Mus musculus: one gene and its partners. The main gene of each other region encodes a partner of the protein of the gene in region 2 in a complex. Links are inferred from orthologs where the notes say so. Each region holds a gene or a part of one and is shown on either strand. Other genes may lie near its edges.

Region 1 (3,653 bases), on a different chromosome or scaffold from region 2:
CAGTCGGCTTTCTTACAGAACTCAGGGCTGCCACCTCAGGCATGACCCCACCCACAATGGACTGGACCCTCTGTCATTAATTACTAATTAAAATATTCTACAGGCTGGCCCATGGCCATTTTCGAAGTTGAGGTTTCTCCTCTCCAGTGACCATAGTTTGTGTCAAATTGACCTAAATCGAGCCAGCACAAGGTAGATTGAACAAATGTTGACTTCAGCCTATTGAAGTCAGAGCCCGGAGGCAAGAGGAGCCAGTAGGAGATGTTCTGAGCTGCACTTTAGGAGAAATAGCTGGTCATGATGTGGCAGGCAGAGAGCTTGAATCGAAGGCCAGGAACCAGTTAGAAGCAATTTCTGTAGCTGAAACAAGCAACAAGGAAGTTTGGTTTTATCTGTAGGCTGTGGTTATAGTCCCAGGTAGTAGTGAGTGATTTTGTCGTGGAAAAGGAATTCCATAAAGGTGCGGTGAGTTGAGTCACCACACTGCCTATTCATTCCCAGTCAATTTTATCCCATATATAGGTGTTCTAGATTCACCCTTAAACACTGGCTTATGTAGGAACCACGGGCTCTTCCTTTTATTTAAGGTGAGGAATACTCATGGAAACTAGAAATGAGCGTTAGAGTTCTGGGAGTTTGCTGGGTTCTCCCAGGAGAGTGTTTAACTGTGTTAGTAAAGCTGCTTCTCTAAGAGCTGGAGAGGTGGCTCAGTAGTTAAGAGCACTGAGTGTTCTTCAAGAGGACCAGGGTTCAATTCCCAGCATCCACATTAGGCAGCTCCCAGGAGACACCTGCACCAGCATGTACATGTCCACACACATTTATGTGTAATTGAAAAGGAAATCTTTTTTTGTTTAATTAATTAATTAATTTATTTATTTTTTTTTAAATATTTTTTTTAAATATTTATTTATTTATTATATGTAAGTACACTGTAGCTGTCCTCAGACACTCCAGAAGAGGGAGTCAGATCTTGTTATGGATGGTTGTGAGCCACCATGTGGTTGCTGGGATTTGAACTCCTGACCTTCGGAAGAGCAGTCGGGTGCTCTTACCCACTGAGCCATCTCACCAGCCCCAATTTATTTATTTTTATTGTGTGTGCATTGGTGTTTGAGGGGGTCAGACTCCCTGGAACTGGAGCCACCATGTGGGTGCTGGGAATTGAACTTTAGACCTCTGGAAGAGCAGTCAGTGCTCTTACCCACTGAGCCATCTCTTCAGTCCAAAAATAAAATCTTACAAACCGGAGAACCTGGGGGTATCTGTGGTGTCTTTAATCCCAGTACTTGGCAGAGTTAGGTAGATCTCTGAGTTTGAAGACAGTGTGGTCTACAGAGTGAGTTCCAGGACAGCCAGGGGTGCACAGAGAAACCCTGTCTGCACATGGGTGCACAGAAAAACCAAAATAAATAATAAAGCAAACTGTCTTCTCTTTCAGGGGATGTTGGAAACTACTATTATGGACAAGGGCACCCCATGAAGCCTCACCGAATCCGCATGACTCACAATTTGCTGCTCAACTATGGTCTCTACCGAAAAATGGAGATCTACGTGAGTTCCTGAGTGCTGCCCCTGCCTGCCTTGTCAGCTTGGGTTCCCTGCCTGCATTCCTTTTTGGGGGATGGGGGGGAGGGTTTGGTTTTTCGAGACAGGGTTTCTCTGTGTAGCCCTGGCTGTCCTGGAACTCACTTTGTAGACCAGGCTGGCCTCAAACTCAGAAATCCACCTGCCTCTGCCTCTCAAGTGCTGGGATTAAAGGCGTGCGCCACCACACCTGGCTCCCTGCCTGCATTCTTTAGTTTCCTTTCTCAGCTGCTCATTCATTCAGTGGCTATTATTTGGCGAGTAGATGAAGGTTCTATTTTTTTATTTTTAAGCACTTCAGTGTCAGTACGTGTAAGCTAACCAAGTTTACCGTGTCTGTGTAACAATTAAAGAATGCTAATGATAGAGAGGTGAGGAGTGAAGAACGGAGCCGTGGAGTTCCTTCAGACTGACTAGAAAGTCAAGGATGAGGCTGAGGTTCTAGCACTTTGGTGGGAGAGGTAGGATTGGGGTTTCAAGGCCACTCTGGGCAATTCACAGCCAGCCCTGGTATAGGAGACCCTGTCTCCAAAGAATGAAAACGCCTAGAACTTAGTGCAGCATTCACAAAGGGACTGGTATCCAAGTCAAGGGTTGGACAGAGGCACAGACCGAACTGAGGATGACGTGGTGTTTGGAGAAAGCAAAAGTCTTCGGGAAGTGCGCTGTAAGCCAACATGGAAGCCCAGTGTGGGTACTGCGGCGTGGATGGCTGGAGATTCAAGGCTGGCCTGGGCTACAGTCTTAAATGAGTGCGAGCTAATCTTAGCCTAGAATAAAACCCAACAACATGCTGGGTAGTGGTGCTTTGAGTCCCAGCCCTCAGGAGGCAGAGGCAGTCAGATCCCTGAGTTGAGGCCAGCACACAGTACACAGTCAGAGTATGGACTGTCTCTGACTTGGGGGCTCTTGTACCTCATTGTCTTCATCGAAGCCATAGCTGAAGGTGACCTTTGCACTTGTGACCCTCTCGGCTCCCCTCTGAAGAGCTGAGCTCCATGGTTGCCCGCAGGCACACCTTTTTATACAGCGCTGTCGTTGTCTTCCAGTGCTATGCTTCCAGCCTCAGTGTAAGCTCGTGTCTTGTTCCCACATACAGCTCTAACTAATTTTGTCTGAGCTTCCAATTTTAAAAGAAAAACTGGAACTTTGGATTATATAATACCACCTAAGTTTAAAATGTTGGCTCCATGTTTTGTCTTTGTTTTAATTTTTGGCTATAATTCCCAAATCTGTTTTTATTTTTTAGCATATGTGTAAAGAATACCAATATATGTGTAGACTAAATTTGGCTTGATTCTCAGTTTGCCTCTTCTGCAGGCAGTGCGGTACAGATTGAGAGCTTTTTTCCGTTTGGTTTGTTGAGGCAGGGTTTTGTTGAATTTGTAGTCCCAACTGGCCCCAAACGTAGGTAGTCTGGTTGCCCCCAGCCTCCCAAACACATGGTCACAGGTTGGCTTCCAGCTCAGTCTGTGGGGAGTGATGGCCTTGAGTTTCAGACCTCCTGCCTCCTTCCAAGGCCTGGATTACCAAGATTGATTTATTTATTTATTTATTTATTTATTTATTTATTTATTTATTTATTAATTATATGTAGTTACACTGTAGTTGTCTTCAGACACTCCAGAAGAGGGCGTCAGATCTCATTACAGATGCTTGTGAGCCATCATGTGGTTGCTGGGATTTGAACTCAGGAGAGCAGTCAGTGCTCTTAACTGCTGAACCATCTCTCCAGCCCCATGTCTAGTTCTTACAGCACTGGAGATTTGAACCCAGGACTTCATGAACACTAAGTATTCTGGCTGCTCTGCAGTGGCAGATACTTGTTAGCTGGGTGTGGTTGTACATACATGGCTTTGCTCCTAGTACTTGAGAGGCAGAGGTAGAGGAGTCTCTGAATTCAAGGTCAATGTGGTCTACATGTCAAGTCTCAGGCTAGCCAAGACTACATAGAGACACCTTAAAAATGTCTTAAAAAATAAAATACAGGACTGGAGAGACTGCTCAGCTGTTACGAGCACTGACTGTTCTTCTGAAGGTCCTGAGTTCAAATCCCAGCAACCACA
Region 2 (3,653 bases):
TTCTCAATATTCCCAAGGCACAATATAACAGGGTTGCAAAAATAAATACTTTAAGGTCCAGACTTGCAGCATAGGCCAATGAAACTTTCCCCAAAAATGTAAAAGGGTGGGATCTTGTTTTCTACAAGGCACTATGCCTAACAAACCTTGTAGTACAGCTTTATCAGTTTTAAAAAAACTGAGATAAACAAACCAAGATGGGGGGGGGGTGTCACACATATCTCAGAGCACACATATCTCTGTGAGTGAGGCCTTGGCTACAGAAAAAACTAAAAGCAACAATTTCACATAAGTGAAATGGTATGGTAAACAGCTTTACAAATAAATAACTTCGTGTTTTTCTCTCCTTGGGGGGGGGGGGGGCAAGCTTGCTTCTATCAGTTGAACCGTTTCTCTTCACTGACAACTTACTAGTCTTAAATTTAAATGTCCTTTGATTTCAAGCTTTCTTATGAGTACCATAATAGACTTTTTAAAAGTTTCAATTATATGGGCATGTATGCCTATATATATATATATGAGTACAGTGCCTATGGAAGCCAGATATGTCTGATCTCTCTGGAGCTAGAATTATAGGGCATTGTGTGCCACCTGGCATGAGTACTGAGGACTGAATTCTGGTCCCCTTGCCAAGAACAGTAGGTATTTAAATGCTGAGCTGCCTCACTAGCCCCATAATGGTGTTCCTTAAGGACTATAAAACTATTGCAAATTCATAATATATACACAGAGAAAACTAGCTGTAGACAAAAGGCCTTTGTGAAAAAAAAATCATGAAGGCTAAGAGTCAGGCACAATAAAGTATTTTGGACACTACCATCTGTATACCACACACTCAATGTCTCATCCCCCTACCCCACCACCGCCATGGCCTCAAAGCTCATGGCCTTCCTGCTTGAGCCTCCTGGGTTATAGAATTATTTTTTAAAGCAGCAATGATATAAATGTCAAACACACTGGTCTAAAAATCCCCTATCCTTCTCTTGCTCATTTCTGCCTGGCGCTACTGTGCACAGAAGCCAAAGAGACAAGGGAGCTTGCACAAGGTTAGCACTAGTGAACACCTTCTGTGTCTTGGACTTACTCTCAAAGGGTTTTTTTCACCTTAAAATTCATGCACCATAAATTCTCACCTATGTTAGAGACAATGACCAAATGTTTGGAGGAGACACATGGTGAACAATTCAGAAAAGGGACAAAGAGCTACTACTAAGCCTGTCAGTATTTCACAGAAAAGTGTTAACTTCCATATGGTTAGAGAAAACCATGCTGGTAATCAAACAGCAGTGATACTACCTCCCAATCCCCCTCCCAGCAGAAAAACAAAAACAAAACAAGCCTCAAAAAACACCATACCTGAAATCAATAGGAACTTAAAGTTACCCTCACTGAAACATTTCCAGAAACTTCTGGGGCTCCATTTACCATTTGTAATAAATGTCAGAGCCTACAGAGCCTAATCACAAAAACTTCCTGGATTTCCTTTTTTTTTTTTTTTTTTTGAAATCACTGGCAAGCTAAAATTTGAAGCTCTGACTGACCTAAAATAGTCTAGTAAAAAAGTACTCAAGTGTGCATAATATGACATTTAATCTAATGCATACCAGGAGCTCTGGAGGCCCATCTTCTGCATCTTCTGCTGATTGTTCTTCTCCAATTTTACTATTAAGAAAATAAAGCTTTCATTACTGCAAAGTCTTATAGCATGCATGTGTGTTTTATTAACCCAGAAAGTATTTCTCTATGAGAAGTACTTAAGACAGGTTTCTCAACCCATGGGTTGCCACTCTGTGTGGGCTAAACGACATTTTCACAGGTGCGTGAAAACACACATTTATATTATGATTCATAACAGTAGCAAAATTACAGTTATGGAGTAGCCAGAAAAATAACTTTATGGTTGGGGGGGTTCACCACAACAAGAGGAACTGAACTTTAAAGGGTGGCAGCATCAAGAATGCTGAGAACAGACTTAAGTATTCTTTATTATTGTGAGTTGTTCATTTGGAGCCACTAATAAATTAAAGCTGCACAATGAAGAAATATTGCTCATAATAAACATTAGTTCAATTTCTTTTTTAACTGTGGTTTTAATGAAGTATAAGCCAAAGAAAGATTTGTTAGGAAAAGTCAAGAATATCATGAGTTTGAGGCCAGTCTGATCTGAGCTACACAATGCCCTGTGTCACAAAAAATGAAAGCGAAAACACTCAATCCAACAATTCTCTTTTCTATGCTACATGCAAGGAGACACTGACAGTATTTTAATGCTTGTGGTACTAGAGACTGAACCCACAACCTTGTGTATGCTAGCTCTATCATTGAGCTACAACCCTAGTGAACTGTAGCAAAAGGTATTTTAATTTGCTAAGCACACATAACAAAGACTTGAGCAACAAAGAAATAGGGCTGGAGTGGTAGTGGCTCAGCAGTTAAGGCCACTTGTTGCTGATGCACAACAGGGTTTATGTCCCAGCCCCCACATTGTACTATCCCTATACAACTACTCATAGTCCCTGTTCTGGGGATCTGATATGAGTACCTGGCACACATGTGTTACACACACAGGCAAAACACTCATACAAAATACATGACCAATTTATGTTAATTGCTGATTTACTTTTCTATCACAGAACAGAAACTCTTAAGGTAGTTAGGAGTTTATTGAAGTTGGATCAGCAAATTGCTTTCCTGGTTTATGAGTTCTATTATGTAATCTGTTAGATTGACACATTTATGCAGTTCCTTGTCACCAGATCCTAAATTACCTTAAATCCCACACATTCAGGCGGCGATCAGTACCACTTGAGGCCAGAATAGTTTCATTATGTGGAGACCAGTGGACCTAGCAATACAGATTTTGAAAACTTATTTAAAGAGCCTTGGTACCTTGGTCTGTAAGTATCATTCTAATCTGTATTTCCTTACCTCACATTCTGTATCCGCTTAGCCTAGAGACTTGACTGTCCAAGGCTTTAAAGTGAGCCCTACCAATCCACCTTGATGGCAGCACTGAACCCAACACTTTGTGCTTGCTCTACCACTGAGCTACGTACCCAAATCCTTAGCTACTCCCAGCTCCCCAAGCCTGCAGGCAGGAAGTCATGTTTCTAGTACTGAAGAAGTCAGGAATCCCAGAAATCTTTAGACCCATAACCATCCATAAAACCTTTAAAATTAGCCTATAATCTCTAATCCAAAACTATGTATAGGACCATTTTTACAGTGCACCCACCATATTGTCACTCTTAATTGAAAAATCCTTGAAAATGTACTTCAAACTGATTCCATTGAAGAATTTTTTCTTACTTCTGGATGGGAGGGGACTCTCAAAAACAATGACAGCAACAACAAAAATATCCATCACCTTGATTTATATAGAATTATGAGGAGCTTTATCAAAAACAAAATGTCCAAATTCCACCAAATAAAAAAAACTTCAGCCGGGCAGTGGTGGCACAGGCCTTTAATCCCAGCACTTGGGAGGCAGAGGCAGGTGGATTTCTGAGTTCGAGGCCAGCCTGGTCTACAGAGTGAGTTCCGGGACAGCCAGGGCTACACAGAGAAACCCTGTCTCGAGAAAACAAAACCAACCAACCAAACAACCAAAAAACTTCAAATATTTGCCCCTCACATGAAGTCCTTGACATAAA
Region 3 (3,653 bases), on a different chromosome or scaffold from region 2:
TAGGAGACCCAAAGCCCCCTTCTGGCCTCTTTGAATACCCACATTTGCATGTCATACCCATATACAAACATGCTACGTAATACAAATAATTCATGAGCCAGAGGTTGGGGGGCGGTGAGAGGTTGGAGGAGATGGCTCACAGGAAGTCCTGGAGAATGAGCATTTATCAATTTATTACTGTAAACTAGAACAGAAGAGGCCAGCTTACCATGCCCACATCAACCACCATTCTTAAAAAACAAAAATAAGGGCTGGAGAGATGGCTCAGCGGGTAAGAGCACTGTCTGCTCTTCCAAAGGTCCTGAGTTCAAATCCCAGCAACCACATGGTGGCTCACAATCATCCATGACATCTCACACCCTCTTCAGCTACAGTATACTACATATAATAAATAAATAAACCTTAAAAGAAAACAAAAACAAAAGCTAAAAATAGAATAAAATAAAAATGAAAGACAACTCAGTCCATCTTGAGGTGGGCTGTCATCGAGTCGCATGACAGAGGCTGATGTGAATCCGAAGGCCTATCCCCTCGCAGATGCCCACCTCACCAAGAAGCTGCTGGACCTTGTTCAACAGTCATGTAACTACAAGCAGCTTCGGAAAGGAGCCAATGAAGCCACCAAAACCCCCAACAGAGGCATCTCTGAGTTCATTGTGATGGCAGCAGACGCTGAGCCCTTGGAGATCATCCCGCACCTCCCTCTGCTGTGTGAAGACAAGAATGTCCTCTACGTATTTGTGCGCTCCAAGCAGGCTTTAGGACAGGCCTGTGGTGTCTCCAGGCCAGTCATCGCCTGTTCTGTTACCATCAAAGAAGGCTCTCAACTAAAGCAGCAGATCCAGTCCATTCAGCAGTCTATTGAAAGGCTCCTGGTGTAGGCCGTGGCCTCTGCCCTTCCCTGTCTACTGCCACCCTGTTTGTGTATCGTATTGTCTGTTAGCATGTACTATTTTCAGCCAGTTACTATTATATTGTACTACATCTGTGTTTTATATTTTTATTTTTGTCTTAATACGGTTATTTTTCACCATCTCTTCATTATCTTCTACCATAAAAAATGAAATGATAGCTAGGACAGGTGAAAGGCAGAATGTCACCATTTAACAACAGGAAGAACCAGGAGAAACTTAAGCCACGGACAGTGTATACTTTCATCTGCAAACTTATTCCACTGTGCAGGATAGGATGACAGTAACCCTGGTCCCTTGTGCCTTTGATATAAGATCTCCATAAATGTTACTGACACTGAGGAACTTCCTTTGGGTAGCAGTCTCCCACCCCTTATCATTTGAAGAAATTTGATGTTGGGCCTATGTCTGGGAGCCGTTTATTAATGTCCTGTGTATCTTTGATGTATGTAGCCTGATATTCTCCCGTATCTGGGGCAGTATTGTGGAGATCGTGGCAATTTGCTGGAACTTACAGCAGAGACAGTGCTAGCAGGAAACATCCTCTCCTTGGTAAATGGGGATGTCTTGTGGAACCATTTGATGCCCGTGTTGGGAGCCCTTATCCTGTTCTTCCCACAGCATGGGTCAGGTGTATTCTACCTCACATGAAGAAAGTGATAACATGTTCATTATTGAGCATCCTAATAAATATGTTCATATCTCATTTTAAATGAAAAAAATAAAAAAAAAAAAAAAAAAGAAAGACAAGGGAGAGGGAGATCTTTCCTTAACACTAAGCAAATGAACTTTGACCATGAAGCAAGTAGTAACCTGACAAAAAGATTGATTTCTTATACTTAACATAGTTCTTTTAAATAGAAAACTCTGATTTTCAGAAATGGACCAGTTAGAAGTTAGTACAAATAGCTATTTTCACTACACACAGTACTTGAAAGATTTATCAATAACTAAGTCAATAGTTCCTTTGGAAAAAAATCAATTTAGCACTATCAACTGCAACATTAAATCATTCACACAGATTCATAGGCACACAGACTCCTCAAATGACAGCGAATTTTGTGTTGTTCAAAGGGAAACATTAGCTGTTATTTGATATCAGAATACTCAGTATTAAATATTTGGATTCTGGAGAAACTTAACCATATCTAAATAAATAAAAAAAAAAATCTACTGAAAATCTCTACTTTAGTAATTTAGTCAATGCTGGTCTAGATGGAATTTAGTTGCAAATATTCACTTATACAACTATGGCGTTATTCATAGTTAGCTTTCTATCAGCAAAATTAAAAGAAAATTTCAAGAGATATAAACTGAGATAAGCCAGGCGGTGGTGGCGCAAGCCTTTAATCCCAGCACTTGGGAGGCAGAGGCAGGTGGATTTCTGAGTTCGAGGCCAGCCTTGTCTACAAAGTGAGTTCCAGGACAGCCAGGGCGACACAGAGAAACCCTGTCTCGAAGAAAGAAAAAAAAAAAAGAAGTCCTCCTGATGATACTTAACTGAGTTAAAAATATAAAACATGGGAGAAAGAGAAAAACATAATACAATCAACAGGACAAAAATCACGTTAAAATATAAAAGCCTACAGAAAGTTGGTAACTTCTATGTCTACAATAAAAGCAAGTTGGTACGTATTCTGATCAAAGTGAAGTTTTCATAGAGAAGTTTCACTCAGGAGATAAACAGACGCAGGATCATGATCACAGGATTAGAGAAAAGACAGGCAAACACTTCCTCATCCTGAAGCTACATTTCAGATTCCTTTTTAGAACTTTAACAATAAAAACTTCTCTTATAGCCGGCCGTGGTGGCACACGCCTTTAATATCAGCACTTGGGAGGCAGAGGCAGGTGGATTTCTAAGTGCGAGGCCAGCCTGGTCTACAAAGTGAGTTCCTGGACAGCCAGGGCTACACAGAGAAACCCTGTCTCGAAAAAACAAAACAAAACAAAAACAAAAAACAAAAAAAAACCTTCTCTTATACTCAAGTAGAAAAGTTAAGGGCTGGTGAGATGGCTCAGTGGGTAAGAGCACCCGACTGCTCTTCAGAAGGTCCGAAGTTCAAATCCCAGCAACCACATGGTGGCTCACAACCACCCGTAATGAGATCTGATGACCTCTTCTGGTGCATCTGAAGATAGCTACAGTGTACTTACATATAATAAATAAATAAATAAACAAACAAACAAACAAATAAATAAAAGAAAAGTTAAAATATATTTCTTTCTATTCTTACCTCCACACAATCAAAGTTCTCATCAACTTTAGATGAATATTCAACACGGAACAGTGTTGACAGGCTACCAGCAATATAGTACAGCAAGATCTTCAGGCCCTTGTAACCGAAAGCAGTTTCACTGAGATAAAAAGCAAAAACAAAAAGCAGCCGAATAAATTTTTGCCAAGTCATTGAAAAGTATTAACTATAACATATAAACAAATTTAAAATCGTACAGTTGCCTGTGAAGTTAAACTACATCCCAGGACATATTGAAGGTTATTCCAGAGTTTGGAAAGATGGCTTAATAGGTAAGAGTACTTGCTATACAAGCTTAATGAGCTGAGTTTAAATTGCAGCACCGGGCTGGAGAGATGGCTCAGCAGTTAAGAGCACGGGCTGCTCTTCCAAAAGTCACAGGTTCAATTCCCAGCAACCACATGGTGACTCATAACCATCTATAATGTGATCTGATGTCCTCTTCTGGCATGCAGGTGTACATACAGAGCACTCACATATATTA

What was found.
Region 1: Rbbp7 (region 2) and Hdac1 share a complex: the UniProt entries of both Homo sapiens proteins name them as parts of the core histone deacetylase (HDAC) complex. The link is inferred for Mus musculus from reciprocal best matches to the Homo sapiens genes RBBP7 and HDAC1.
Region 3: Rbbp7 (region 2) and Hat1 share a complex: the UniProt entries of both Homo sapiens proteins name them as parts of the type B histone acetyltransferase (HAT) complex. The link is inferred for Mus musculus from reciprocal best matches to the Homo sapiens genes RBBP7 and HAT1.

The regions. Positions count from the first base shown.
Region 1 is NC_000070.6:129,532,515-129,536,167, reverse strand, and holds part of Hdac1 (histone deacetylase 1), read left to right. Parts: intron 1-1,441; coding exon 1,442-1,554; intron 1,555-3,653. UniProt on the Homo sapiens protein: Histone deacetylase that catalyzes the deacetylation of lysine residues on the N-terminal part of the core histones (H2A, H2B, H3 and H4).
Region 2 is NC_000086.7:162,773,745-162,777,397, reverse strand, and holds part of Rbbp7 (histone-binding protein RBBP7), read right to left. Parts: intron 2,846-3,653; coding exon 2,769-2,845; intron 1,663-2,768; coding exon 1,605-1,662; intron 1-1,604. UniProt on the Homo sapiens protein: Core histone-binding subunit that may target chromatin remodeling factors, histone acetyltransferases and histone deacetylases to their histone substrates in a manner that is regulated by nucleosomal DNA.
Region 3 is NC_000068.7:71,409,759-71,413,411, reverse strand, and holds part of Hat1 (histone acetyltransferase type B catalytic subunit), read right to left. Parts: intron 3,270-3,653; coding exon 3,149-3,269; intron 1,622-3,148; exon of another isoform or gene 460-1,621; intron 1-459. UniProt on the Homo sapiens protein: Histone acetyltransferase that plays a role in different biological processes including cell cycle progression, glucose metabolism, histone production or DNA damage repair. Coordinates histone production and acetylation via H4 promoter binding.